Rattus norvegicus: one gene and its partners. The protein of the gene in region 5 purifies or fractionates together with the protein of the main gene of each other region. This does not show direct contact. Links are inferred from orthologs where the notes say so. Each region holds a gene or a part of one and is shown on either strand. Other genes may lie near its edges.

What was found.
Region 1: the proteins of Bcl7a (region 5) and Pbrm1 purify together in Homo sapiens (affinity purification with mass spectrometry; 3 studies listed by BioGRID and IntAct, counting the BioPlex papers as one, with this or other methods). This does not show direct contact. The link is inferred for Rattus norvegicus from reciprocal best matches to the Homo sapiens genes BCL7A and PBRM1.
Region 2: the proteins of Bcl7a (region 5) and Phf10 purify together in Homo sapiens (affinity purification with mass spectrometry; 3 studies listed by BioGRID and IntAct, counting the BioPlex papers as one, with this or other methods). This does not show direct contact. The link is inferred for Rattus norvegicus from reciprocal best matches to the Homo sapiens genes BCL7A and PHF10.
Region 3: the proteins of Bcl7a (region 5) and Smarcd3 purify together in Homo sapiens (affinity purification with mass spectrometry; 4 studies listed by BioGRID and IntAct, counting the BioPlex papers as one, with this or other methods). This does not show direct contact. The link is inferred for Rattus norvegicus from reciprocal best matches to the Homo sapiens genes BCL7A and SMARCD3.
Region 4: the proteins of Bcl7a (region 5) and Smarcd2 purify together in Homo sapiens (affinity purification with mass spectrometry; 5 studies listed by BioGRID and IntAct, counting the BioPlex papers as one, with this or other methods). This does not show direct contact. The link is inferred for Rattus norvegicus from reciprocal best matches to the Homo sapiens genes BCL7A and SMARCD2.
Region 6: the proteins of Bcl7a (region 5) and Smarcd1 purify together in Homo sapiens (affinity purification with mass spectrometry; 5 studies listed by BioGRID and IntAct, counting the BioPlex papers as one, with this or other methods). This does not show direct contact. The link is inferred for Rattus norvegicus from reciprocal best matches to the Homo sapiens genes BCL7A and SMARCD1.
Region 7: the proteins of Bcl7a (region 5) and Smarcb1 purify together in Homo sapiens (affinity purification with mass spectrometry; 7 studies listed by BioGRID and IntAct, counting the BioPlex papers as one, with this or other methods). This does not show direct contact. The link is inferred for Rattus norvegicus from reciprocal best matches to the Homo sapiens genes BCL7A and SMARCB1.

The regions. Positions count from the first base shown.
Region 1 is NC_086034.1:6,313,858-6,316,947, forward strand, and holds part of Pbrm1 (polybromo 1), read left to right. Parts: intron 1-866; coding exon 867-937; intron 938-1,054; coding exon 1,055-1,271; intron 1,272-2,571; coding exon 2,572-2,744; 3' UTR 2,745-3,090. UniProt on the Homo sapiens protein: Involved in transcriptional activation and repression of select genes by chromatin remodeling (alteration of DNA-nucleosome topology). Required for the stability of the SWI/SNF chromatin remodeling complex SWI/SNF-B (PBAF).
Region 2 is NC_086019.1:64,638,846-64,643,250, forward strand, and holds the start of Phf10 (PHD finger protein 10), read right to left. Parts: upstream 2,823-4,405; coding exon 2,739-2,822; intron 969-2,738; coding exon 862-968; intron 1-861. UniProt on the Homo sapiens protein: Involved in transcription activity regulation by chromatin remodeling. Belongs to the neural progenitors-specific chromatin remodeling complex (npBAF complex) and is required for the proliferation of neural progenitors.
Region 3 is NC_086022.1:11,461,967-11,466,149, reverse strand, and holds the start of Smarcd3 (SWI/SNF-related matrix-associated actin-dependent regulator of chromatin subfamily D member 3), read right to left. Parts: upstream 2,875-4,183; 5' UTR 2,744-2,874; coding exon 2,666-2,743; intron 1-2,665. UniProt on the Homo sapiens protein: Involved in transcriptional activation and repression of select genes by chromatin remodeling (alteration of DNA-nucleosome topology).
Region 4 is NC_086028.1:91,696,195-91,699,515, forward strand, and holds part of Smarcd2 (SWI/SNF-related matrix-associated actin-dependent regulator of chromatin subfamily D member 2), read right to left. Parts: intron 1,602-3,321; coding exon 1,417-1,601; intron 1,285-1,416; coding exon 1,242-1,284; intron 1,118-1,241; coding exon 995-1,117; intron 800-994; coding exon 644-799; intron 249-643; coding exon 153-248; intron 25-152; coding exon 1-24. UniProt on the Homo sapiens protein: Involved in transcriptional activation and repression of select genes by chromatin remodeling (alteration of DNA-nucleosome topology).
Region 5 is NC_086030.1:38,877,227-38,880,864, reverse strand, and holds part of Bcl7a (B-cell CLL/lymphoma 7 protein family member A), read left to right. Parts: intron 1-3,166; coding exon 3,167-3,288; intron 3,289-3,638.
Region 6 is NC_086025.1:132,707,356-132,711,460, reverse strand, and holds the start of Smarcd1 (SWI/SNF-related matrix-associated actin-dependent regulator of chromatin subfamily D member 1), read right to left. Parts: upstream 2,835-4,105; 5' UTR 2,830-2,834; coding exon 2,653-2,829; intron 2,603-2,652; exon of another isoform or gene 2,428-2,602; intron 2,016-2,427; coding exon 1,828-2,015; intron 1,537-1,827; coding exon 1,494-1,536; intron 1,396-1,493; coding exon 1,273-1,395; intron 838-1,272; coding exon 715-837; intron 1-714. UniProt on the Homo sapiens protein: Involved in transcriptional activation and repression of select genes by chromatin remodeling (alteration of DNA-nucleosome topology).
Region 7 is NC_086038.1:12,739,496-12,743,747, reverse strand, and holds the start of Smarcb1 (SWI/SNF-related matrix-associated actin-dependent regulator of chromatin subfamily B member 1), read right to left. Parts: upstream 2,801-4,252; 5' UTR 2,605-2,800; coding exon 2,512-2,604; intron 1-2,511.

The DNA of each region.
Region 1 (3,090 bases), on a different chromosome or scaffold from region 5:
ACAGGAGCAGAAGACCAGGAAGCAGGCTCCTCCTAGTACAGATCACTGCTGAACAGGACTTAGGCTTTAAAGAACAGCTTAAAAGGAATTGGTTGTGGTTTGTTAGTTTAGTAGGCTGAGTCTCTTGGCTATTTTGTTTTGTTATAATAGCAAACAGATAGCCCTGAGATGAAAATTGTCTTAAAGACTAAATTTGGGACATTTTACTGTTATCAACTATGAGACAGCAATTGCTCATCAACATTTACCCAAGGAAGTTTACTGAGTGATTACCAGAGAGAAAAGGGCCACAACGTCTTTCTTTTTTCCTTTGTCATTTGGAATCTGAGGTAATGGCAACAAGGCTACTCCACTGCTTCCACATCATCCACTGAAATGCCTTCTCTCTGCCAACGTTAGTGCCTGGGGTAGAGCCGGCTGGTGCCCTACAGAGGCACATTAAGGAGGCCTCCAGCCTCCGCAGGGTTCAGATAACTGTTCTTCCTCAGCCCTTGTTTCCTATCCCAGTACAATAGTTCCTGCTCAGCCCGGTCCCACAGGCTCCAATGGTCAGAAGGGTGTATGGTCAGAAGACAACAGAAGTGCATTCTAACTGTGGTTCACTCACCTACAGTTTCATGTGGGCTTTAAAACAATCCACGCCGGGAATAATTAATGCACCTCTGACAGTGTACTATATGTTTAAGAAACCAGAAACAGAAGGATATAAATTCCCTAATTAGATTCCGACTAGGGTGCTTACAGCTCCTATTCACACTCGAGGACAAAGGTACAGAGGCTGGCATTATAAATGGCACCAGCTCTTGTCAGTTATCAGTCAGCAAAACCCAGAGCCTCTAATTGTGCCATTGCATTCTGAATTATAGGTGTGATGAATCAAGGAGTCACCCCCATGGTAGGGACTCCGGCACCAGGTGGAAGTCCATATGGACAACAGGTAAGCCTCCTCGTTTAATTTTCTTTCCATGGGCTCGAGATGCTTTAGGCCTCTGCTTTCTCAGAACATGTGTCGATTATCTTTTTGACAAGATCATCTAATCCCATGCTCTTTCAGGTAGGAGTTTTGGGACCTCCAGGGCAGCAGGCACCACCTCCATATCCTGGTCCTCATCCAACTGGCCCCCCTGTCATACAGCAGCCAACAACACCCATGTTTGTGGCTCCCCCACCAAAGACCCAAAGGCTTCTCCACTCAGAGGCCTACCTGAAATACATTGAAGGACTCAGTGCTGAATCCAACAGCATCAGCAAGTGGGACCAAACTCTGGCAGGTAGGAGGGTCTTGTTGAAATGCATGTTTTCTCCCAGTCCTCTCACTGCTGCAAGCTCTTTTTCTTGTAAAGGGAAATAAACTATATATTTCATAGAATAGATGTGGGCTTCTTTGCATAGTGACCCAGCAAAAATGGGTTTAAAAAAATATCAAAGCTCAGTCATATCCTATTACCACCTTCTCAGATACCTTCTGATTCCCTTTTCAGGTTGTTGGTTTGTCCCCGTCCCCCCACCCCCCAGATATTTGAACATAGAATACATGTCAAATTTTAAAACGGGAAACCTGGAAAGTTTAGTCTACCAAGCTGCTCATTTAGCTGAATAGGGAATGTGTCTAACATGGTGTTACCTAGTTTCTCACGGAAATTGGAAGCTTATTCATGTTTAAAAATAAATTTGTGAGGGGCTGGGGATTTAGCTCAGTGGTATAGCGCTTACCTAGGAAGCGCAAGGCCCTGGGTTCGGTCCCCAGCTCCGAAAAAAAAAAAAAAGAACCAAAAATAAATTTGTGGGGTTGGGGTTTTAGCTCAGTGGTAGATAGGCAAGCGCAAGACCCTGGGTTTGGTCCCCAGATCCGAAAAAAAGAAAAAGAAAAAAAAAAATGTGTGTGTTTGTGGTCAAGCACACATGTGCTTTGGTAGCACGGATGACAGAAGACAGCTTTCAGGAATCAGTTTTACCTTCTACCGCATTGGAACAGGCTGGGTCCTTTACGTATGCTGCTGCAGTGTTTACTTACTGTAGGCCAACTGCCCCTTAACTCTGGGCATTGCTCATGTCTCAGACTGCCATCTTGCCTTAGAAGTTAGGACTCCTGAGACCAGCACCACATCTGCCTCTGTGTGGAGTAAGGGATGGCTGTCGTCTGACCTGTGCAATGAGAACGTCTGTGCACTGAGCTGTCTCCCTGATCCTGGATGGAGTTTTCATTTTTGTTGTTTGGCTTACGTTGAGAACTAGCTCTTAGTCTTAGAACACTGAAGAAACTGTTAATATCAGGGTTGTCTAGAAAAGAGTGTTAGTGGTCAGATATCAATGCTTAATAAGCTTTGCTATGATTGTAATTTATATCACATTTTCATAACTTTAATAAATATTGTTTTGTTTTAGTATAAATACATCAACCCTTAAAACTGGGGTCATTTTATCATCCTAAAATTCTAATGTCTGGGGGTTGGGGATTTAGCTCAGTGGTAGAGCGCTTGCCTAGCAAGCGCAAGGCCCTGGGTTCGGTCCCCAGCTCCGAAAAAAAAGAAAAAAAAAATCCTAATGTCTGTTTATATTTCAAATTTTCAGCTCGAAGACGGGATGTCCATTTGTCAAAAGAACAGGAGAGCCGCCTACCTTCTCACTGGCTCAAAAGTAAAGGGGCACACACCACCATGGCAGATGCCCTCTGGCGCCTGCGGGATTTAATGCTTCGAGACACTCTCAACATCCGACAGGCATACAACCTAGAAAATGTTTAATGGCGTTACTGTTTCTTCTATGGAAGCAAAGAGTTGTGGAGCGGTAGCCATTTTAGTTACTGGGGTGGGAGGGAGGAACAAAGGATGATAATTTTTATTGCATTTTACTGTACATCACACAGCCATTTTTATATAAGGACACTTTTAATAAGCTATTTCAAATTTGGTTTTGTTACATTAAGTTGACTATCAAATACACAAAAGATTTTTTTTGCATATGTTTCCTTTGTTTAAAACCAGTTTCATAATTGGTTATATATAGTAATAGTTTTATCTTTACTTGTTAAAGGACTTTAATCATCAAAGGTTTTGGCTTGGCTTAGGGTTTTGGTTTTCTTTTCTATAA
Region 2 (4,405 bases), on a different chromosome or scaffold from region 5:
GTATTACTGGTGGGAATGCAGAATGGTGGTACCACTGGAAATGTATGGAAGGTCCTTATAAAAGCTGAACACAGAATTACCATATGGTACAGCTTTCCACTTCTAGCTATATACCAGGGTACTAAGAGCAAGGGTTCTGAACGCCAGTGTTCACTTCAGCATTAATTACCCCAGCCTGCAGGCATACACAGGAATAAGCAAAATGTAGCAGCACATACAGTGGAATATCGTTCAGACTTCAGGACCTCCAACACAGATGAACCTTGAAGATAATATGGTTAGGGATAGGCACTGTATGGTTCACAGTCAGGGGCAGGAAGGAGAACTTAGTTGGTAACCAACCAGCAGCAGGGGGCAGGAAGGAACAGGAGGTACTGGGGGGTTCTGCAGTTTCACTACTGAAGTTTTGAAAAGGGGTGAGAGTGATGGTTGCACAATATTGTAAATGTAATTAATGCCACTGAACTATACTTCTTATATATAAAAAGTGTTACGATGGCTGTATTTTATGTACCTATTTTATCGTTTGTTTTTTTTAATAGTTCTCAGGAGCAAGACCAACTTCGATATTATATTATATGACTCTTTTTTAAAGATTTGTTTGTTTGCTTGCTTTGTGTATATGTGTACAAACATCTGTGGAGGACAGAATGGAACATCAGCGCCTCTGGAGCTTACAGGAGACTGGGGGAGGTGGGTGCTGGTAACCAATCTCCAGTTAGACAAGCATTCTTAACTTCTGAGCCATCTCTCCAGCCCATACATATAATTTTTAATAACTTTTCATGCTGCCTGGGATAGGAAAGAAGAAGTGAGCAAACAGTTTACAGAAGTCACTACTGAGCCTTAAAGCAGCAGTACCTAAGATCTTGACTTGAAGTCTCGCAACTTCTTGAACTATCCCCTGAACCCATTCGTCTTCTTTTAGATGGATGACCCCCATCATTTGAGTTATCTTCATTATCATCCTGTACATTAAAAAAATGGAAAATGTTAAAATGAATTAAAAACAAAGAGTGATTCTGTATCATTCCAGTCTGCCTAAATATCAACAAGAGAAAGCACATTTCTACCTAGTGTCCTTAGAAAACTTAATTTTAGAATAATTAAAAGGACAGAGAATTTGTTATAAGAAATGGAATAAATCTAAAAACTGACCTTCAATCTAAACAAAATTGATTTTCAACTATATTTTAAATGTACTCTGCTTTCATTTTCTTACCAACTAGGTTGTGTTCAAATGTCTTCTGCTTTTTAATAGCAAAACCACTTTAAAATCAAAGTAAGCCTTCCTATTTGAGCTGGGAAATAAATACTAACAAATTTTGTAGCACACTTCCATTTACAACTGGCCTACCAGATCACATTCTAATTAGCTACTTTGCAGATGAAGGACTGGACACAGGTTACCAAGTCTAACTACATTCTTTTTCTTCTATAGCAGAAATTCAGCACATTGTGATAAGCTCATAGAAGATATAAGTTGTTGAGCCATTCCATTAAGGAAAGAAGTAGTCAAATGTTTTTAAAATAATTCATTTACATATTGCTCATGGCTTCAGCTCATAGTTCTTTAAATCAAGGTACTATAGCTCTTAACACTACTAATCTTACTATATATTTCAATAAGGACCCGCGAAAGAAAATAAAAAGGAAGCACAGGCCAGCACGTCAGGTCAGCATGCCACTGTGGGCTGCCTGGAGTCGTATGGAGCAGCTGTCCACCAGCTGTGTGGTAACCTGCCAGCTTCTCCCTGTCTGAAAGCCTAGGTGGCTGATGCAAGGATTCAGTGAAGTGATACATGAGCACATGAAGAGCAAGGGCTAGTGCATAACTGATATATGTTAACGTTGAGGTTAGCAGTGATTTTACATTTCACTATGTCTCTAGCACCTAGGAATTTACTAAAATTATTTTTCAAATTAAAAAAAAAGAAACCATTCTCCTTTTCACTCATCAAAAATGAAGTCAAGTAAACAAACTTAATATTCCTTTTTAAAACTAAAAAACAAGTTGAAAGATAATATTTAATATTTAATTTTTCACAGTACTCATATTCCATACTTGCTTGACAAGGTTCATTTTAAGCTCTGAAGCATTTTAAGCGCTATTTTACTAATTTGTGAATATTTTAAAGATTTCTGTTTAAAAACGCTTTTAGTTAAAAACAATGATCCATTCGAAAAGAAACAATAATGGAAGTTGACACAGAGTTTAACAGCTCACAACCGTATGAATTCTAAGGGCTACGTTCCAGGTAAGGCCCTCTTCTCTGCAAGGTCCTCAGTCGGGGCCAGGAGCCAGCAGCCCCCGGGCGCTGCTCTGACTCGGGCCCGGCCACAGTGAGGTTCACAGGGGAGCAGACAGAGGCCCCGCGGGGAGGGACGGGCACGTGGACGGGTCACTTCGGCTGGCCGAGTCTGTGGGTGTGAACCCACGTTCTGCCAACTCGGGACCACGAGCGCACGCCCCGCTCAGCGTCTCCTGGACTTGAGATCCCAAAAGGCCGCAACTTTTCTGACTTCCCCAGGCTGCGGGCGCTCCGTCTCAACCACTCTTCGCGAGTCTTCCGGTCCCTACTACTCCCCGACAACTTCCCACCCGCCGCGCAGGTCTCCCTGAGGTCCGCGCCCACCGTTCGCCGCACTTGTTGCTTGGGGACCCGCCGTCCTGTCCCCACTGCGCTCCCGAACCCGGCCCGGGCCGCTGCAGCCGTTGGGCAGCGCGCTCCGCTCACCTTCGGGGACTGCGCTCCGGGGGAGGCCGGGTCGCTGTCGCACCGCCGCGGGGACAGCGCCGCCCCGGGCCCGGCCGCTGCCATCAGCCCCAGCGCCCCGCGCCTCCGTCGTCGTCGCCGCCGTCGCCTAGTCCCAGCCGCCGCCGCCGCCGCTGCCGCCGCTGTCGCGCGGGCCGCCCGGCGCCCCGGCCCCGCCCCCTCCGCCCGCCCGCCCGGGGGCCGGCCCCTGCCGCCGCGCGCCCCGCGGCCCGCCAGCGCCACCGCCATGGCCGCCAGCGCGCCGCCGGCCGGGACCCGCACGCCGCTCACGTCAGCCGGCTGCAGCTGCGCGGCTCTACGGGCCTGGGCCGGGGCCCGCCGCCTTGCCGCCTTCACCCGGCCCGCCGCGCCCGGCCTGAGCTCCGCTGGCCAGCTGCCGCCTTGGCCCGGGCCCCGGCCCGACCCGGGTTCCTGGCCGCCTGGCGAGCTCGCCGCCGCCCCTTCCCTGCGCCCCCAGCCCGGCCCTTCGCGTCAGCCGCGGCTCCGCGCCGCCCCGCCCCGCCGCGGTCCCGCCCCCTCCCCTCCTCCGCCGCGCGTCAGCCGGGGGTCCTCAGTCGGCGGCGGCTGCCTAGTCCCCACCTGGGTCGCCAGCTCCTCCCGTGAAAGATGGGTCCCTACCACGCGTGTCCTCCAACCCCCACCCCTACACACACACACACACACCGGTGCCCAGCTCCTCCCCTCAGCCAGGGGTCTCCACCACGCTGTCTCTTCCCGCCCCCACCCCGAATCAAGGGTCCCCGCTACGTGGTATCCTCCCACCACCGGTCCCAGCCCCTCCCCTCAGCCTGGGGTCCCCACACCCGCGGCCACCTTCCCCTTCTCCACCAGTGTCTGCGCTCCCTTCTGTAACTGAAGGATTTGAGTCCTCAGTCTACTTCCTCCTCTCTCCTCAGCCCTGAGGGTCAACCACCCCAGGAGCTCCGCCTCCTCTCTCCTTGAGATCCCCTCTCCTGTAGTGCCTTTTCCCCACCCCGCCATCTTCACTCCGCACACCTCTGGGTCCCCAAGGCGCCCTTGGCTCCTTTGTTCTACATTTGCCACTCCCGAAACCTAGGTGTAGTGGCCACGAGAAAAGTCAGAGCAGCACTCTGGCTGAACAGGACCCAATCAGGCAAGAACATAGAGAAGGTCCCCCAAACCATATGACAGTGTCAGAAAACATAATCACCTGCAGGACACAGGATTGGGAATCCCTGGGAAATGAAAGCCAGTGTGCTTGGATTTATATTGATCCTAGTTCTTAGACTTCGCCTTTTGAAAGGCCGGACCCCACCCTTTGAAAGGAGCACCAGGAAGACAACAGGTCCAATAGACAAAGGCAAGGGACAGAGAAGCACCCCTATGCTCCCCAGCCCCCATCCACAACACTCCCCACAACTCTTCCAAGAATGTACAGGACCAGATCAGAAAAGATGATCTAGCTCTTGGATTTCAGAATTTGAGTTCCCTTTCATGGCCAGGACTTCTAGCTCCTGACAATAAACCCAGCATTTTCTCCTCACATGAAATATAGTGTGTCCACATGAAAGATAGAGCTGTCACCTACACAAGGCAGAGGTGAAGGGAATGCCTGCCATAGAGCAGGATGTCTGCATTATAGATCAGCAGCTTCAAGCTAAGCAATA
Region 3 (4,183 bases), on a different chromosome or scaffold from region 5:
GGAGCCGTGCAAGGTACCCCAAAAATGAATATTAATGGCGCCTTTCAACCTTTCAAAGGATGTTCATATCCGTACGGCTCTCTGCGAGCCAGTCAGAGCAGGTCTTTTCATCCCCACTTGACAGATGGGGCAACTGGGGCTCAAAGAAAAAAGCGACCTCGCCAAGGTCACCCTGCTCTTCCCGGCAAAGGCAGCACCTGACCGGCCCTGCTCCCCGCTGCTTCGCTGCGGTGAGGGGCTGATTTCCTGTCCTCATTTCTCATTTCCCAATTTCCACACCCCACTTCTGGGGCTGATGTGCTTTGTACTTGAGCCCCCATCTCCCTTTCAGAGCCCCCGGCTTTGGCACCTCAATCTCAAACATAACTGGTTCAGCTAACTCCAGGTCTCCACACCCACCGACTTAGCCTGCCTCTTTAATGTCATTTCTCCCAAGGTGATACAAGAGGCAAGGGCACCTGAGGGTCTGGTGTCATCAGACTCTGCCTAGTGGCAAGTGGGGAACTGGACTAGAAGTGGGCTGCCAGTGCAGGGACGGTTGAAGGAAGCAGCATCTGTAGCAGCATTCATTCCCTCTCCCATCTGATCACATAAGAGTCAACCCATTCCCCACCCAATCCCAGGAAGGGTAGAAATTGGAGGGAAATGAGGCAGATTGATTTTCCCCGGCCACCACCTCTACTCAGTCAATCAAAACAGAGGAGATGCCAATGTGAGTGAAGTGTTACAGATTTCACTTGTCCAAGCCCAGGAAGGGGGCTGAGGTTTTGGGACTAGTCAGGAGGTGGGACGAGTTCAGAAGAACAGGAAGGGTATTAGGGAGAGAGGTATGAAAACCCTATTTAAACACCCCCATCTCAGGCTAGGGATGTAGCTTGGTACAGGGCTTGTGCAACACATGTGGAGACCTGGGTTCGATCCCCAGTATCAAATAAACTGCACATGATAGCACACACTTGTAATCCCAATATTGAGGTGGAGGCAGGAAGTCAAGTACTGATATATAGTGAATTTGAGGCCAGCTTGGGCTACTGAAGACCATGCGCATGCGCCCTCGAGCACGCAGGCACGCAGGCAGGCACGCACGCCCTCATCTTGCCCCCAGACTAAGAAGCCTTAACCCTAACTCCCAGGCTTCCTTTCTCCTCTTACACTGCTTACCCCTAAGGTCTCCACCCATAGCCAGCAGCTGTCTCTGCTCATCTCTTCTGCAGTGAAACTGGCCTGTCCCTGAATCTGCCACCCCCACTCCACCTGGCTCTGTCACTCACAGCACCAATGCCACCAGGGTAGAAGCTCAGGCCTAGCCACCCTTCATGACTATAGAGGGGGCCCTAATCATCATCCAAGAACTGAACCTCCAAGGTGGCCATATTCAATTAATTCTTCATGGGGTCGTACTCTTTCAAGCGACTACTCAAGCAGCCAGGTCAGGACTGGTAACTCCACTAGTCCACAGGGCTGTCTTGGAAATTACACCCCAGATATCCCTAAGGCTAGAACAGGCTGCCACAGAGAAGCCCTCTTCCCTATCAACTGCTCTCCTATTCATCAAGGCCACTGATACTGTCTGGTCTACTGAGAGGCCCTGAGGAGAAGCCTTCTAGGGGATCCCAGAGGCCTGCCATTAGTACCCCCTCATAGAGGTCAGATTCTGGGGGCCCTTGCCTCTCTCACTGAAAAGGTGCTTCCAGGGGTCACAACCAAATTTGATCATAGTGAATCTGACTGATTCTTCCCTCCATGTGCCCAGGCTTGGAGCTCCTCATAGCCAGGCGCTCTGTCTGCTAACTGAATTCAAGTGTCTACCTCATTAGGTCCCTGAGTACCCTCAGACTCTTCGTGTGTGTGTGTGTGTGTGTGTGTGTGTGTGTGTGTGTGTGTGTGTGTCTGTATGTGTGTGTGTGTGTGTGTGTGTGTCGGTGTGTCGGTGTTAGAACAGTAAGTATAGTCTTATCCCTTTGGTCTCTAGGCCTCATGTCCCCAACTCCAGCCCCTCCCTCACACCTTTGAGGTGTTAAGGTCATCAACTTTCTGGTGGCTGAGCCTGCCAAGGAGGTCCTCTGACTGCTTAACTTGGGGTCTCTCAAGTAGGCCTCTCTCAGCTCTGACATCGGGGCCAAGTACTCAAGGCCCTCCTGCTAGGATGCAGGGGTTGCTCAGCCAGAGAGCTTTGGCTCTTAGGTGCCTTCAGGGTCACCTGCTCTTAGTTCTTCAGACCTAATCAGAGTGACCCTGTCCCAAAGGATGAACAGGGACAACAGGCAGCCCAGCCCTAGCTGTGTGTTCGAATCACCACCCCACCCCCACCCCCAGGGCAGGGGTAACACCTGAGCCCACCAGTAAAAGAATGTGAGATATGTCAGTTACTGAGGGGACCCCCCTCTTGGGGGAGACACGGTGCCCACATCCCACCCCTTGCCCCTGATAAGAACCCAAGCCGACGCCTCTCTTCCCAGCCGCCGCGCGCCCATCCCCAGCCGACCGCTTGGCGACGTGTTCGGATGCCAGGGCGCCGGCAAGGTCCCAGGGTTGGGCCGTGACCGTGCGCCCCCCAACCAAAGGGGTGGGAGAGCGGGAGCGCGCCGGCGGCCCCTCCCGATCATCCCTCCATTCAGCCCGAGCCAGCTCGCTCACCCTCCCCCGCTAACTTTCCCCCACTCACCACCCCATGGACCAGAAACTCAAAAAGTTTGCTTTTCGTGGCTTTGCGCGCCCCTCCGGCAACTTCGTCCGCGGCCATCGGGGTGGGCTCAGCGGCTCCTCTCACTCTCTCTCTCTCTTCCTCTTTCTTTCCCTTTTCTGCCTTTTTTTTCCTCCAACTCTCCCCTCTGAGTCCTGCTGGGCTCTCTCACACTTCTACTCGAGCGGAGTGGGGAGGGGGCCCCTTCAGGGCTGCCCTGACGGCCCACGGCCCACGCCGCCGCCGCCCGCCCGCCGCCGCCGCCGCCGCCGCCGCGGCTGCCGCATTCCTGCACTGATAAGACAGAAATAGTCCGGCGGCCCGGGGTCTGCCTGCGACGCGCCGGGGACAGAGCGGCCCTTCCGTGCACTCCGCGTGGTCCAAGCGGCGCACAGAAGCGGCGAGACGAGCCGATCTGCCCGGAGGCTGCGCGATGGGCAGCTCAGCTGCGCCCAGGCCGCCCGGGGCCCATCGGTGGTGGCACGGGGAGGGGACACCATGGGAGGTGACAGGGGGCTCGCTAGCCACCCTGCCCTCGCCACAAATAGTTTCTCGGTTAGGGAATTCGCCGACAGGGCCAGGCAGGGAACAGGCAGTTCCAACTTTCTTTCCCCAAGTGGCTCCTGCCGCATTTCTGAGGCCCTTTCCCCAGGGACCAGGCAGGCCAAGTAGGGAAACATTTGCTGCAAGGAATCTGGGGGGAGCCCGAGCCCGGAGCAGGCCTTGCTCCTGTCCCAGGGCCAGCCGCGGTGGGTGTGCCGGGCTAGGCGGGCTCCTGGGCGCCCGCAGATGTGTGTGCCCTTGTCTCGCACACCGTGTGTCTGCACCCTTTTGTGGCACGGCGCAGAGGCTGTGGGTGTGGATGTTTATGTGCGTGCACTGACAAACGCCCCGTCGGTGTGCTTCCCTCCACAAGAGCCGCCGAGCTTGCGCGCGTGCGTGCGGAGCAGGACACGGCCCGTGTCTTTCAGCTCTGTGGGAGTTTATTTCTGGGCTCGTGAGTCTTTGTTTGACTCTGTGTGAGAAAGTGAGGGCAATAGGGGAAGTATTTCCGAAAGGGGGACATGGATTGGGCTCATGAGAACAGGAGGAGTACATTGTGAGGAATGGCGCGGATCCAGGGTGGGTACTTGGGTGGGTAGGAGGAAAGGGTGAGGCAAACAGGGCTTGATGGCTTGGCGTGGAGACGCAGAGTCTGGGGTTCGTGAAGTCCGCCCCAGAACCAAAAAGAAAGCAGGAGTGTGGTGTATGAAGATGAAGAAACCCCAAATGGGACAGTGTGGAGAGAACTGGCCAATCCCGGAGGGGAGGAAGAACAGAAAGGAGGGGGCAGATCCTGAAATCCCTAGGTTGAGCCCAAGCCCCGCCCATGCCACAAGCCACGCCTGTCCACACCTTCAGGAGGAGGAGTCCCCGAGCTTTGAGACAACCAAGGGTCACGTTAATGGGCTAGCTGGGGGTGGGACTGAGGGAGGGGCAATGCCTGAGGGAACTTGTGGG
Region 4 (3,321 bases), on a different chromosome or scaffold from region 5:
CTGAGTGGTGGGCATCCGATGCCACTGTCAGGCAAGAGAACGCAGAGTTCATCGCTAGCAGATGGGCTACAGCACTCTGCCAGCAGCACACTGATGTCATGCGCTGTACCCCCTGACAGCTTGTCCCTCCCAGACTCTAGAACCACTCTTACCTCCACCAGATGGTTGTCAGGCCCATACAGCTCCTTGTCCAACTCGATAACAAGGCTCTTAAAGAATGAGGAGAACTTCCTCTTCTGTTTGCTAGGCTGAGAGGAAAGAGCTATGTAAGACGAGTGTGCTGCTGAATTTATTCATCAGAAGAAACGAGTCGGCATCAATGTGTGGGCAAAGTGGCAGGAAAAGGGCTCTTCATGAACCCCACTGCCAGCCAATCAGGGAGTGAATCCAAGACCCTTGACTGCCATCTACAGGAAAGTTGTAGTGCAGTAACTACAGATGTTCACTCTGGACCAGTATATTATGTGTGAGGTCCAGGCTTTGATCCCCAGCACAGAAACAACAACCCCACCAGCAAGTCTAACCTCTAACTGGGTAGATCTACCCTTTCCCTAGGCTCGGACTTCATAAAGACGCTCATGTCTGTCCATGGTCTAAGTTCACACACGCCTTCTCCCTCCCAATACCTCTTTTCCCAACTCACATCATCCAGAAGTTTTCCCTCTACTCGAAGCTCCCAGGAGGCCACCTTGTCTGCTGCTGGGGTTCCCCCAGGGGTCCCTGCAGTTCCTGAATTATCACCATCTGCCTTGCTGGGACTGAATGTATTGGAAATATAGATCCGAAGTTTTCGCTTTTGCTAAAGAGGAAGAAGAGGCAGGACTGAGTGAGTAGCCATTTGTAGCAAGACACCACCTCAACGCATGCGAAACTGAGTGCGCTCTAGTGGATGGATGGCTCCCTGTGTGAGAAGTACTGCTCAAGCCCAAGCTCTTCCCTGGAAAACAAGGCCAGGGAGGAAAAATAGTTTGGGAGAACTTGGGGTAGTATATACCGTCAGAGGCTTCTTGATGGCCTCTTGGATCTCCATCCGCTTGCGAGCGATGGTCTGGTCCAGCTTCCTCTCGAAAGCTAAAAGATCCATGTATGCCTGAGACTCTGGGACAAGCTCCCGGATCTGCAGGTTGAGAAATCCAATGGCTTGCTTCACCAGCTCTACTTCTAACACTCTCCCTCCTTGCTCACTCCAGGACCCCCACCCTGGCCAGCCAGACCTGGGCAGGCCTCCGTAACACACTTACTCGCTGAGGTAGAACCTTATCTGCCATCTTCCTCCTCTTTAACCTAGTAGGAAAACAGAAACCCATTTAAGAATTTAACAGTCCAAACTCACTATCTTCAAAACCCTCTCCCAAATTGCCAAGAGTCTCCTTGTGGTCAAGGTTACCACCAGAGACGAGACAGGCAAGGTCTTACCCTCGGCGCTGGGCAGGCATCGGGGGCTGGGCCTGAGGCACAAGCAGGCGTTTTCGGAATGGATCCATCATGGTAGGTGGCATGCCAGGTCGAAGTGGAGCAGCTGTGCCAAATGGGGAACCAGCCGGAGGTCCCACCTGCAAGCCAGCCATGGGCATCCTACTTCCTGGGGACATGCCAGGTCGCTGGGGAAAGTGGAACAGTGGAGGGGCACAGGTCAGTGGGAGAGCCCTACGAGGTCCATAGCCCATACCCTCCATCTCCCTCTCACACGGGGAGACCAGGAACAAAGGGGAACAGGCGCCTGAGCCCAGCGTGTAAACCACACCTGCCCCGCCCCTGCAACCGCCCTGGCAGCCGTGCCAACAAATGAGGCAGCCGGAGTCCATGGGCGGGAGGAGAGTGCCTCTTGCAGAAGGCAGGACCTGGGGAATTTTTTAGGACTTATCAACACCTTTCCAGCTCCAATATGCTATGTCCTGCACCCTGGGATCGGCCAGCTTCAAGGTATTTATAGAGTCCCTAGATAGCCCCTAGACACCCCTTCTTCCTTTCCCCATCCTGAAGGAAAAACATTACTCGGGAGACCAGAGGCAATGCATAGCAACAGCAACCAGGGGAGTCCGGGAGGATGTAAACAGCCTGTGCCTGGTGGCATGACGGGAAGAAAGGCAGTAGGGATGGCAAACCATTAGGCAGCAGCACCTCAGGTGAGCAGTATAATGTATGGCTTTGCTATGTCACAACTTGTGGGGATGGCCTCAGGAGAGTATAGACACCATCTGGTCACCATATGGCCCCTACAAAACCTGAACCCGTTGTTGCCCCCCCCCCCCCATTGCCATGCCCCTATCTCTATGTCAAAAGACCCTCAAAAAGGGAAATTATGGTTCTTGGGTGGCCTATGGGAATGAGAACAGCAAACATCTGGCCTCTGCCCATGGTCTCGGCACCACCTGGCAGCCAGGCTGCTGCTGGTCCGACTTAACCCTAGCCAGCCCAAACTGCAGACTAAGACTGTCTGGGATGGAAGGACACAGAGTCACAGCAACAATCTGGGTGACACGAGTAGCTTCTTGACTTCCCATCCAAGGCCCAGTTTTCCAACCTTTCTGGGAGCCCTCCACCTCCCAGCTCCATGCACATAGCTGCTGCCTGAAAGGCCTGTTTGGCAGCTCTGCCTTGCACACACTGTCCCTGGCAGCTTCACAGGCCTGGCCCCCGGGGCCCAGGTTATGCAATCAATCAGTACAACCAGACAACCAGGCCAGCCTGGGTGGAGATTCATACCAAGTTAAAGGCCCACCCCCTAACCCCCACACCCAAGCATCCTGAAGATGAGTCTCTGCGACTTCTTTATCTGGCACTAAGGAGTCAGACTCATGACCAGTAGCAGAGGGAGGGGAAGAAACACGACCCAGAGACAAGGGAAAGGGGATAGGAGCAGAGCAAGGATACAGTGGCAATTGAGGAGTTAAAAGTGGGAGACCCTGGGACCTTGGGAGTCCTGCCACAAGTCTCTCCTCATCAGGAAGAAATTCATCAAAGCTGTTGAAAGGCAGAAGACAGCCTGTTTCTCTGCTCTAATAAGCCAGAGCCAGAGATTATAGAAGGGGGGAGGGGACAAAAGAAAAGCCTCAGGTGGCCGAAGCTCTAAGACCCCATCATCACCCAGACTTGAGGGTTCCCTAGAGTTACTGCAGATATATCTGAGGCGCTCTGGTCCCCCAAAAGCTCTCCACCAAGGTTCATAAAGCCTATAGCACTGCTGAGCCCTCCAGGAAATCCCCCCGCAAGGCAGCCCAGGCAGGCCTGGAATAGGCCCCACCCAGACATCTGTTCCCCACTTCTGGGGCTTGGGCTTCAGTCCCCTGGCTCACCCGCAGCCTCAGGGGAAGGCTGCTC
Region 5 (3,638 bases):
CTGAGCCCTCAGGCCTGGCTCTCAAGGAAGCCTCGAGCCTGGGCATGCCTCTGCCAGCAAACGGGCATCGTGATTCTCCAAATCTCTGGTGACTGACTGCCCGAGAGCGGTAAACCCTCCCGTGCGTGCCCAGTGCGTGTGGGAAACAAACTGAAACTGCCCGCAGAGGCAGACACCAATGAAGCAGACTTTTTAGTTGAACTGTTAGTTAAAGCAAACAAATGCACTATGAAATAGAATACAAAGTTACATGGGCCCCCACGCCCACCCCCTTCCTTCTTTTCTGCTTTGCAAGCAGAGTATCATGTAGCAGCAGCAAAGGCTGGTCTTGAACTTCTGATGTCTATGTCCCAAGTGCTTCCATGTCCAACTTTTTTTTTTTTGTCCCACCCCACCCCCGCCCCTCCATTTTCTTTAAGGAAGGGAATTACTATATTACTATGTAACCCTACTGGCCTGAAACTCTCTGAGATCCTCCTGCTTCTGCCTCCTGAGTGCTAGAATTGAAAGCGTGCCGCCGTACCTGGCCCTCTAACATTTCTCTTCTTTTTTTTTTTTTTTTTTTTTTTGTTCTTTTTTTCGGAGCTGGGGACCGAACCCAGGGCCTTGCGCTTCCTAGGCAAGCGCTCTACCACTGAGCTAAATCCCCAACCCCTAACATTTCTCTTCTTAAAAAATGCTATGTGTATAAGTGTTTGCCTTAGCCACATATGTGCGCCATGTGTATGCCTCAAAGGCCAGGAGAAGGTGTTAGATCCCCTGGAAGTGACATTTCGGATGATTTTGAGCCACCCTGTGGCCCCTGGGAACCAAACCCAGGTCCTCTGCAAGAGCAGCCAGTGCTCTTGACTGGTATCTAGGATATTCTGTCATTTCTGTGTAGTTCCAGAACATTTTCCTCAGTCCATAAAAAATACTGCCCACACTGTACAGTCCCTCTCTGCCTTCCTTCACCATTTCCTTATAATGACCAGTCCGCTGCATGCGTGTGTGCGTGCGTGCGTGCTTACGCGTGTGCGTGCTGGAGCGCTGACCTGTTGTAGGCATTTCACATAAAGAACATCATGTGTCTTGGCTTCAAGAACCTTGTCAAGACAGGTTCTGCCCTGTTTCCGCTGCTGTGCTGTATCCTCCAGGGTGGCTGGCCCCTAAGTTTCTAGCCAGTCTCCTGTCTTCACCTCCCATCTCACGAGTGCTGGGATTACAGTCGTGTGCTACCCCGTCCTGATTTTCACACGGGTTCTAGGGAACAAATTTGGGGTTTTTGGCTTTTGTGGCTCACATGGGTTTTTTCCCCTAGGGAACAAATCTGGTTTTTAGGCTTTCATGGCTGTACTGTCACCCCTGAGCCATCTCCCTGACACTCCTTTGTTCCTTTTTATGACTGGGTAATATCTATTATAATACTATCTGGCTGTTCCCACTGCTGAATTCACCATTGTGAACAGTGTGGCATTTGTATTCAAGATTCTGGTCTCTGGACCAGAAAGTAAAATTGCTGGGTCTTGACAGGTGGGGGTGGCAATTACCTTTAATCCCAACACTCTGGAGGCAGAGACAGGTGGATCTCTGAGTTCAAGGACAGCCTGATCTATAGAGCAAGTTCCAGGCTAGTTAGGGCTACACAGAGGGGAGAAAAAAAACCCAGTCATATGTAAGTTCTTGAGGAAGGGCAAGAGGGAAAACTGAGGCCATACAAGTAACCCAAGCGATTAGTATCGTCAGATAAACAATTGCTTCACATGATGCTGTTCAGCCAGGTTGTAAACTCTCGTGTGTAGAGGATTTGTAAAGATAGGCAGATGTCTGTGACGTCACCATTTAGAGAGATAGGAAGTCCGTAGGCACATGAGGGAGCAATCTAGAAAGGTAGAACAGAGTCCTTTAAAATGCTGGCATCTTAGGGGCTGGGGATTTAGCTCAGTGGTAGAGCGCTTTCCTAGGAAGCGCAAGGCCCTGGGTTCGGTCCCCAGCTCCGAAAAAGAACCAAAAAAAAAAAAATGCTGGCATCTTAGAGGTGTGAGGTATCAGTTAACGTGAGTGTAGCTATGCTTTTGTTTTCCTCTGTGGTTAGCCATTGCTCGAGTCACTTAGACTCATCCTTATTGTTAAGAGAAAAGTTGGGCCCGGGATATAGTTCATTTGATAGAGAACTCACCCAGGGCTGGCATGCCGGAAGCCCTGGGTTTGAACCTCACCATCAAATAAACTGGCTTTGGCAGTGTGCACCTGTGGATCCCAGCACTCAGGAGGCAGAGTCCATAGGCCCCAAAGTTCAAGGTTATCCTCAGCTTCTAAAAGAGTCTGAGGCTGGCCTCGGATATTTGAGACCCGTCTTAAAAGAAAAAGGCAGGGGGCTGGGGGAGATGGCTCATCAGGTAAAGGTGCCTGCCAACTTGAGTTCAGTCACCAGAACTCACATGGTAGGAGAGAACTGACTCCATCGTGTGGTCCTCTCACCTCCATATACGAACTGTTGCAAGCACATATACTAAATAAACAAATGGGAGTTGTTGTTGTTGTTGTTTTTTAAAGAATTAAAGACTGGAGAGATTTCTCAACTGTTAAGAGCGTTGGCTGCCCTTGCAGAGGACCCAAGTTTCGTTCCCAGCAAGCGCTCGGTGACTCAGAACCATCTGTGTAACTCCGTTTCCAGGAGATCAGACGCAGGCAACAGGCACACATGTGGTGCCCAGACATACATGCAAGCGCTACACCCGTCCACATAAAATAAAAATAAGAAACTCTTGGGAACGCTTGTTTTCCGCTCCCTCTGCTGTTAGGAGAATGCTGGTTCTCTTCAAAAGCCCAATGAAGTCTCTGCGGCCATGACTTCCCCCGCCGGAGCCAGGTGGCAGCCATGATTGCTGTAGTGCTTGGTGCCCAGCAGAGGGCGCCAGACACTGGCAGCATTATGCGCTTAGTAGCCCTCCCTCTTCCTTCTCCAGGCAGAGGGTCGGAGACCCACAGAACCCACTTGTGGCCTGGCTCCTTATAACTGTCTGGCTAGTTGATACATCGAAACTTCCCAAGCTTTGGTCCAATCGAGCTCTGGAAGCCCCTGGCCACAAAACTCCCCAGATCTGGGTATTTTTAGTACCTGGCCCATCTGCTGCAGCTTCTCATGTGTCTGAAAACAGCTTCTGTTGTCTTGCTTCTCGCTCAGATGCTTCTGACGAGCAAAACTCCCAGTCTTCGATGGAAAACTCAACGAACAGCTCAGAGAAAGCGGAACGGCAGCCATCTGCAGAGTCAGGGCTGGCGGCAGAAACATCGGCAATCTCTCAGGTACCTGCCGTCCCGCCTCAGTGGGTGGGGCTGGGGTTCTCCACGGTGCGTTGAGAGTCATGCTGCTTCCTGTTGGACTGTTAGAACGCTGTTCGTCCATTGAGCAGCAGCTCAGAGTTTAAGCCTACACCACCTGGGACCACGGTGATGGGAGGGATGTGTGGTCCTGCGTCAAGAGTCCTCTGGCGTAGAGGATGTGGAGTCTTGTCTTTCTAATCTCAGCTTGGTGATGGTGTGGCGTTTGGGTCCATCAGAACATCTCATCCCAGTGAGCCCACATCCTAAGGTTAAGGAAGACATAACCTCAGAAACCTAAAGGCCGGATTACTCTTTGGAATTTTGCATGCGAT
Region 6 (4,105 bases), on a different chromosome or scaffold from region 5:
CAAACCGCTAGCACAACAAAGCACATCTGAGCAGAGGAAAGCCTGACAGCAGAGGGCAAATGAATCCCAGGCCAGAGGCAGGGGAACAAAACCTGCCTTTCTCTGGACAGAACACATGACCAGCAAATAGCCTGGACCTACCCAGAGGCAGCTCGGTTCCCCAGCAAAAGTGCATCAGACGAGCTCACTTGCACACAGTTTAAAAGTGTCAGAGTGCAGAGCTCTGAGGGAACGGCGAGCCTCCCCAATGAGCTGCTGGGTGGAGAGTCTGGGGTGCTCATTAGTCTGATGAGCAACAAAGAGCCAAGCCTTTGGGGGGGCTATCGTACTTAAACTGTGGTGCCTCCAATGAAACCTGGGAAGACAGAAATAACCTCAAGGACCTAAGGGAGGAAACATGGGCTCAAACACTAAGCACAGATGGTGGTGGGGATAAGTGAGCACTGAAATCCGAAGGGCAGCATCACCAGGCAAAGTAAACAACAACCCAGACCCCAGAGCAACAAAGGTTTCCACTTGATACCAGAGAAGCTGTGAGAGTAGGCACAAAGGACCATTGTCTTTGTAGGCAGGGAACACAGCACCCCCAACCCCCTTCCGGAAGCTCCCAGCAGGAGTGGTGAACACCAGTCAGGTTTCCTGCTGACCACACAGCACTGCTCCTTCCCAACAGCTCCCACCCTGAGCACCAACCACCATGGACCCTGAACTCACATCCTCCAGGAGCCGTCCTTCTACCCGGAGCTCCCAGGAAGCCACAGTCCCTTCCCCGTCCTCGGCATCCGACTTAGCCGGATTGAATGTGTTAGAAATGAAAATCCGCAGCTTCCGTTTTTGCTGAGGAAGGCAGAAACAGGATTGACCGTGGGGCTTCAAGAGCACAAGGTTCCCTAAAGCTCCCAGGTCACTCCTACCAGGCTGGCTTTGTAGATGGATAAGGACTCCACTGAGGAGCAAACAGGCCCTGACTTGGGCCTGAGTAAATGTGCCAGGGTGCCAGGGAGACAAAGTCGTGCAAAGTGGCAGGTTCCCAAGGTAGCGAGGAGCAAAAACAAGGACAGGGTGTGTTTCTGCTGAAGAGAGTGGGAAGCCCCCCCTCTCCTTGCCAGCCGCCCCACTCCTATGCTCCTGATGTAATTCCTGGTTTGCAGGCAGAAGGGAAAGATGCAGTTTAAATGCCAAAGAGAGATGTGCTGTGCCTTTGGGTTTTCTTCCTAAGCTTGGTGGAGCGTCCTGGCTCCCTCCTGTGACCCTCTGGTACTCTCCTGGTACCTTGATGGGCCGCTTCAAGGCCTCCTGGATATCCAGGCGTTTCCTCATAATAGTCTGGTCCAGTTTCCTTTCAAAAGCCAGGAGATCCATGTAGGCCTGTGATTCCGGTACCAATTCCCGAATCTTAGGAACAGAAAGATAGGGTCAGGCCCTAGAGCTGACCACCTCTATTCTCAAAGCCACTACCCCTTCAGGAAGGCCTCTACAGCTGCTGCACTCACCCTCTGAGGTAGGATTTTGTCAGCCATCTTCTTTTTCTTTGCACTGTTCAGAATAAATACTGTTATCAGGTTGGGATAGGAACTAGTCAAAACATGAGCATCGCTGTGAGCACCTCCATTTATGGTACAGCTACTACGGCCTACGGGATGACTCTCCATCTCCCAGTACCACAAAAACTCCACTTCATCACGAGGCCAGAGAGCCTTCAAAAGGGTGAGTCCCTGCAGCACCATTTGATACTGCAGCGCCTGACTTCCTGGGGACTCCCAGCATCAGCATCCTCACAGGCCTCCTCCCATCCCCGTCTTTCCTTCACCCCAGGGGGCATCTTACTTGTGATTTCGATTTTGGACCGCCTGCTGCTGGACCTGCTGGATCTGTTGAGGTGCAGGTCTCTTGCGGGATTGGTCCATCCCTGACTGGGCCAGGCCAGGTCGGACTGAAGGGTTCCCCCCATAGCCAGGAGGTCCCATGGAAGGTCCCTGAGGTGTCATTCGGCTGCCTGGCAGCATACCTGGTCTCTACAGAAGGGAGAGGACCAAGAGATGTCATATTTTTCCATGCTAGCCCCACCAAGGAAGGAAAAGTGGTGGAAGGCTGGATTTCAGGGATGGGGTAGGGCTGGGGGGTGGGTAGAGTGGAGGACAAGACAATCCTTTGCTTCTTTGAAATATGGTAACTGGAGCTTCTTCAGGCCTACTAGTGATTTAATGGAATATAGTCTAAAAACTAGATTATACTTGAATTTTCTGATCTATGCTGGATCTGACTCATCAGACATTTCTAGTCCTACTTTTTTCTTTTTTTAAACTAGCTGCTGTCTCCTCTAAGGCTGACCTCAATTTGCTGCAATAGCTTGGGTGTTCCTGGAGACACTGGGGCTGCCCATTCCCCTCTGCATCCCATGCCCATCCCAGGGCCCACTTCACCCACCCTGGTTCCACACTCGCTCCTCACACGGAAACAATGCCGCTGGGAGCAGGTAAGGATGCTAACCTCCTTCCCCCCACTCTTCCTCCGCTCAGTTTCCCCCACCTCCACTCCCGGCCCGAGCCCCTCCCTAGGGAGTCCCTCCCACTTCTCCCTCACCCCTGTCAGTCCTCCGCCCTCGCTCGGCCCCGCCCCCGGCCCGCGCGCCCCTCCTCCTGTCCCACTCACCGGATAGGCCGCCCCGGGCATCGGAGAGCGGTACAGCCCTTGACCCGGCGCCGGGCCCATTCGCACGGGAGGCCCGGGAGTTCCGCCCGGGCCCAGAGCAGCCGCCACGCCCGCTCCTCCTGAGGCTCCCGCGCCGCCGCTCGGAGCCACGGACTGGAAACCCGCCCGGGCCGCCATCTTCCCGGAGCCGCCGCTGCAGCTGCACAAAGAACCGGAACCGGAACTCCCCCCGCCCCCCGCGCGCCCCCCGAGCGCCTGGGCTGTTTGTGGGCCCGGCCCGCCGGCGGGCACGGGCGGCTCGGGGCAGCGAGACTACGGGCTAGAGGGGGCGACTAGCGGGAAAGGCGTGCTGACCACTCCCTCCCGCCTTCACGGGCCAGGAGGGAGCACCATAGAGAGGCGGTGTGCTGATAAAGAAGTGCCGGGAGCGAGCGCCCCCGGGCGGTTGGAGGACGTCAAGGCCTTGCAAAGAGCCCAGCCCACCCCGCAGGCGGCTGGAGTGATGCTTCACCTCGGCCCAGTGCGTTTACCTCTCCAAAGCATTCTGGTTGGTTTGCTTTTTGTTTTCCTACGGATCAGACTCCGGATGCTAAAGAGGGAAACAGGCTGTTTGTTCGTTTTACAAACGGAAAAGCTGAACTCAAAGGAGGTGAATGTCGTGGCAAAGACAAATCGAGATAAGAGAAAAGCCATCCTGGATTCGGGTCTCCTGGCTGGTAGCCAGGGCCTCATCTTATAAATAATGGCTTAAGGGGTTGGGGATTTAGCTCAGTGGTAGAGCGCTTGCCTAGGAAGCGCAAGGCCCTGGGTTCGGTCCCCAGCTCCAAAAAAAAAAAAAAAAAATAAATAAATAAATAAATAAATAAATAAATAATGGCTTAACAGCTCCCCGGCACGGGAACTTAGCCCTTCACCTCAGACCTTTAACTTCAGATTTTAATGAATTCTTTTACCTTGAATCTTCTCCAAAGAGACCCGGATATCTGTTGCTTTAGATTACTTTGCTGGTCCACTGCCTAGGGAACAGAGGATTCCTGAATTTGTTCTTTTCCAGGTGGATCAGTGTTTTTACCTGATCAAGTATGTAGGGTCTCGAATAGCCTGGTCTAGCGTTAAACTCACTGTGTGATGGAAAACAGCTGCTCCATCTCCTATGCGCTGGAATTAGAGGTGGAACCACCACACCAGACTACCACCCAAATTTCTTTAGTTGTGTGGCCCTCAAGGCAAGCTCCGATCTAAAGGTTAACACCCAGAGTGCAGGGTGCTGGCAGCTCATACCTTTAATCCTAGCGTTTGGGAGGTAGGAGGATCTCTGTGAGTTCGAGGCCAGCCTGGTTTACAGAGCTGTTCCAGGACAGCCGAGGCTACACAGAGAAACCCTGTCTCAACACAAAACAAACAACAAACAGAAAACCAACACTGAAGAGATGGTTGAAACCCAGTTTATTAG
Region 7 (4,252 bases), on a different chromosome or scaffold from region 5:
AAAGATTCTGGACTTGGGCATTCATTTCTTCAAAGTCCTGTGACTCCTGTGGCAAATGACAGGATGACAGGGACATAGTCATATCCGCTGCAGACGTCCTCCCAAAGCAGCTCCACAGAGGTCAGAGACACTGCTAGTGTGCTGCATCTGTCCCATCTGTCTAAAACTGAATCCATCATCCAGACAATACTGCAGACAGAAAATACTATATGACCCTGTGCTCTTCCCAAAATCAAAGCCAGGCTCCAAGGAGTGAGAAACCACCCATTTTGGTCTTGGGGATAACTATTCTCATTCAACTGGGAAGGCAAAGAGTCAAGAGCCCAAAAGGAGGCTGTGGTTGGACTTCTAAAACCGAAAACATTCGATGACAATTACCTCAAGAGACATGTATTTCCAGTTTAAACATCTCGGATGCATGAGAAAAATAAAACCGGTCAAGAGTACTCAGTGCAAGAACACGTGTTCAGTGCGCAAAGGCTCAGGGCTCCCCAGCATGAGAACTGAGGAAGGCAGGAGAAGAGAGTGGCGAGAGGGTAAGGAGGCACAGCAAGCTGTCCCGAGGTTCTTCCCACATGACCAGGAGCTGTCTCTCAATTGCTCCACCAGATACGTATTTTCTTTTCAAAACTACCCCCAGCCTCTTAGAGCTCAGGCCAGATTTACTCTTTCACTGGTCAGTTCAGGGAAGCGTCTTTCAACAAATTCTCCTGCATAGATTGTTCCTTATGTACTGACCTTGCATTTGCACAAATGCCTACTGGCCAACCAGCACCCTTCCGAGCCACAGGAGATGGCCGGGCCCTGACTGCACGTCCCCAGCACTGCCACCTTGGAACAGTAGCAGAGGTGATGGTGGGAACAGTCATGGCAGCCTGCACTTTTTGTTTAATGGAAAAAAGTGAAAGCAGAAATGCTAAGTCTAGATGTTTCTGACAATACTGGTCCCACTACCTGATTCAACCAACACCCTAATGGAGTATAAGACACTCAACAGCTGCCAGGAGGTAACTGCTGGCAGTTTGAAATGGCATTAGTTAGCTCTCTAGGGTGGGCCCTACCTCCTTACACATGCTATATGTCTACTGGTTAATATTCACATATTGAGGGGTTGGGGATTTAGCTCAGTGGTAGAGCGCTTGTCTAGCAAGCGCAAGGCCCCCAGCTCCGAAAAAAAGAAAAGAAAAAAAATTTCACATATTGGAATTTTATGGTTTTTTTTTTTTCTTTTGAGACTACGTAGACCAGGCTGGACTCAAACTCACCCTCTATTCTACCTCTGGAGTGTTCAGGTTAAAGGTGCAGCCTAGTGCTTGGCCACCCACAGCTTAAAATACAAAAACAAAACAAAAACAAAAACAAAAAAAAACAATAAAGAAAAAGAAAGAAAGAAAAGGAAACATAAACGGGATGTGGTGGCACCAAGTGCTTTGATCCCAGCATTTGAGAGGCAGAGGCAGGTGGATTTCTGTGAGTTCAAGGTTAGCCAGGTCTCAAAGGGGAGTTGCAAACCAGCCAGGGTCACACAATGAGATCTTGTCTCAAAGAGAAGGGGGGAGTGGAGACATAAACTGGTTGGCGGTTGCCCTTAGATGGAAGAAAGCTAGTTTGAGACAATCTGTTTTAAAAAAGAAAGAAAAGAAACTTCATACATTTGGCTGGTCTGTAGGTCTAATTGTAGGGTTTTTCTAAGACAGTGGTTCTCAGCCTTCCTAATGCTGTGACCCTTTAATACAGTTTCTCATGTTGTGATGACCCCTCACCATAAAATTCTCCCGTTGCTACTTCATAACTATAATTCTGCTAGAGTTACAAATCATAATGTCACTATCTTATATGCGGGATATCTGATGTGGGAGCCCTATGAAAGGGGTAGCAACACACAAGAGCGAACCTAAGGAACTATGTCCACTTAACTGAACAGGGGCTGTCTCTTCTAGTTATGAGTTATGGGTTAGCGATCCTTAGATTTATCCCCTATAAAGACTCAAAATCAGTTCACAGATCTCCAAAATGTTAGTGCTTCTGGCCTTGGGGCCTCAACCACTCAAAAGCAAACATCCTCCTCCAATCACTTTCTACACATCATAAAACTTATGCTACTGCACTCCACCACAGAAACAAGGACACAAAGGGGAGGAGGTTTTCCTAAGCCTCAGGCTTACAACTAGAGGTTTCAAGACCATGGCAGTGGGGTGCACGAGAGCTGCCGAAGGGCTCAAGGGCAGTACTGCACCTCCAAGCACCCAGGGGCTTCCCAAACATCCTTTTTCCATTTGCCTAGAGTGAACCGGCTCGATGCTCTAAGCTCTAAGCTAGGGCAGATGCTTAGGGTCGGATGTTAAGTGGGTAAGGAAACCTAGAGGCCACGCCCACCAGGCCACGCCCCAGCTGCGAGCACGAGCCCGCCTCCGCGATGAATGGAGGCGCGCACTCGGGGAGCACTGGCCCGCCCCGGGATTCGAGCCGGCCAGCCGCTGCTCGGGAAGCCGAGAACGCGCCGCGGGCTACCTCGGAGCCGATCATGTAGAACTCCCCGTCGTCCTCCAGCTGAAACTTGACGGGCTTCTGCCCGAAGGTCTTGCTCAACGCCATCATCATCATGGCGGCGGGGGAAACTGGCAGCCGGGGTCGAGCTGGAAAGAATCCGGTGGGCTGGGGCGGGGCCGAGGCGCGTCGGACCGAAAGGAACGGAGGCCGGGAGGTGAAGGACGGACAGGGCGAGCCGGGCAAACCGGGAAGGCGCTCGCGTCACTACTAGGTTCTTAAGCCGTCTCTGCGAAGAGCAGGCCTCCCTCCGTGCGCATGCGCGTGGGGGTGCTGACGCTAACGTGCGCGCCGCCGCCTGCGCGAGCGCGTTCCCGCAGGCCCTTAAAGGGACCCGAGCTTCTTTTGCTTCCAGGCGGGTATGGAGGGAAACTTCTCAGCGACAGAAATAGCCACTGAGGTCCTGACTCAGGCGGTGGCTTTTCTAGTGGCACAGCCTGAGATGGCACTCCGCCCTGGGATGAAGGGAATAAATGAGATGTTAAGCGGGGAGAAGAACCGCTCCATCTGGAGCGGGGTGGGCATGGCGACCCCAGGCCGGCCAGGTTCTCCACCCGAAGGTGCGCTAGGAATAGCTAGCTATCCGCTGCAGGCCCACAGCTATTCCCGAGGCAGTAGGGATGGGAAGAATAACAGTACTGGATGGAGGTTGGTACTATTCAAAGATCTATATAATGTGCCAGGTGACCGGGAAGAGACACTTGCCTTCCTTCCTTACCTCTGCAAGCTTGGTGCCCACAAGCCCAGTCCTGTTCTGTGCCTCTGCCGGCCTTGGGCCTTAACAGCCCCGAGGCAAGACAGAGCTTCTGGAAAGTGTCCAAGCAGTCCACCCTCTGTTGAACAGAGCCTTGACTCCAAAATGTTTAAGTAATGTTTATTGTAGCGCTATTACAATAGCTTAAGTTATAGCCCAGCCTAGGTAGAAGAATGGTTGAAGAAAATGTAATCTAGGCAGGGTGTCGTGGCTAGCCCCAGCACTCGGGAGGCAGAGACAGGAGGATTTCTGTGAGTTATAGGCAAGTCTACACAGTGAGTTTCAGGACAGCCAGGGGTAGGTAGAGAAACTGTCTCAGAAAAAAATAAAATAAAATAAAGCAAAAAGAGTGAAATGTGTGTACACGACGGAATTATTTTTTCAGCCCCCAAAACGAAATCGTTTTCAGGAAAATGGATGCAACTGGAGATAATCGTATTAAATCAAGCCAGTCTGAGAAAGACAAATAGGTTTTCTCTCCTTTGTGCTTTCTAGATTTCACATAGATTCATAAAATATGTACTACACAGAACATGAAAGAAAAGTGACATTGTGTATGGGAGCAAAGGGACTAACAGGAGAGGGAGGGGGGATAGGGGAAGTGGGGTATGGGAGGGGGAGGATGTACAAAATATAAATACCTTTAAGAAAGTGGAAATCAAACTGGCCAGTTTCATAAGGGTCAGCCTAATGAGACCATAGTTGTGACTAGGGTCCTTAGGAAGGAGATGTTAACTAGGAAGGGCCGTGGTAACCAGGAGTTTGCCCAACTGTCCTCACAGCCACGGGAACCAGAGTGTTAAGGGCCAGGCATGGTGGTTCACACTTTTAATCCCAGAACTCCAGAATCCTAGGCAGGCAGACCTCCGTGAGTTCCAGGACATGATGTGTGAGACCATCCCTTCCCCCAGGTAATTAGGCACGATCGGATAAAATGACTACTGCTTTGGA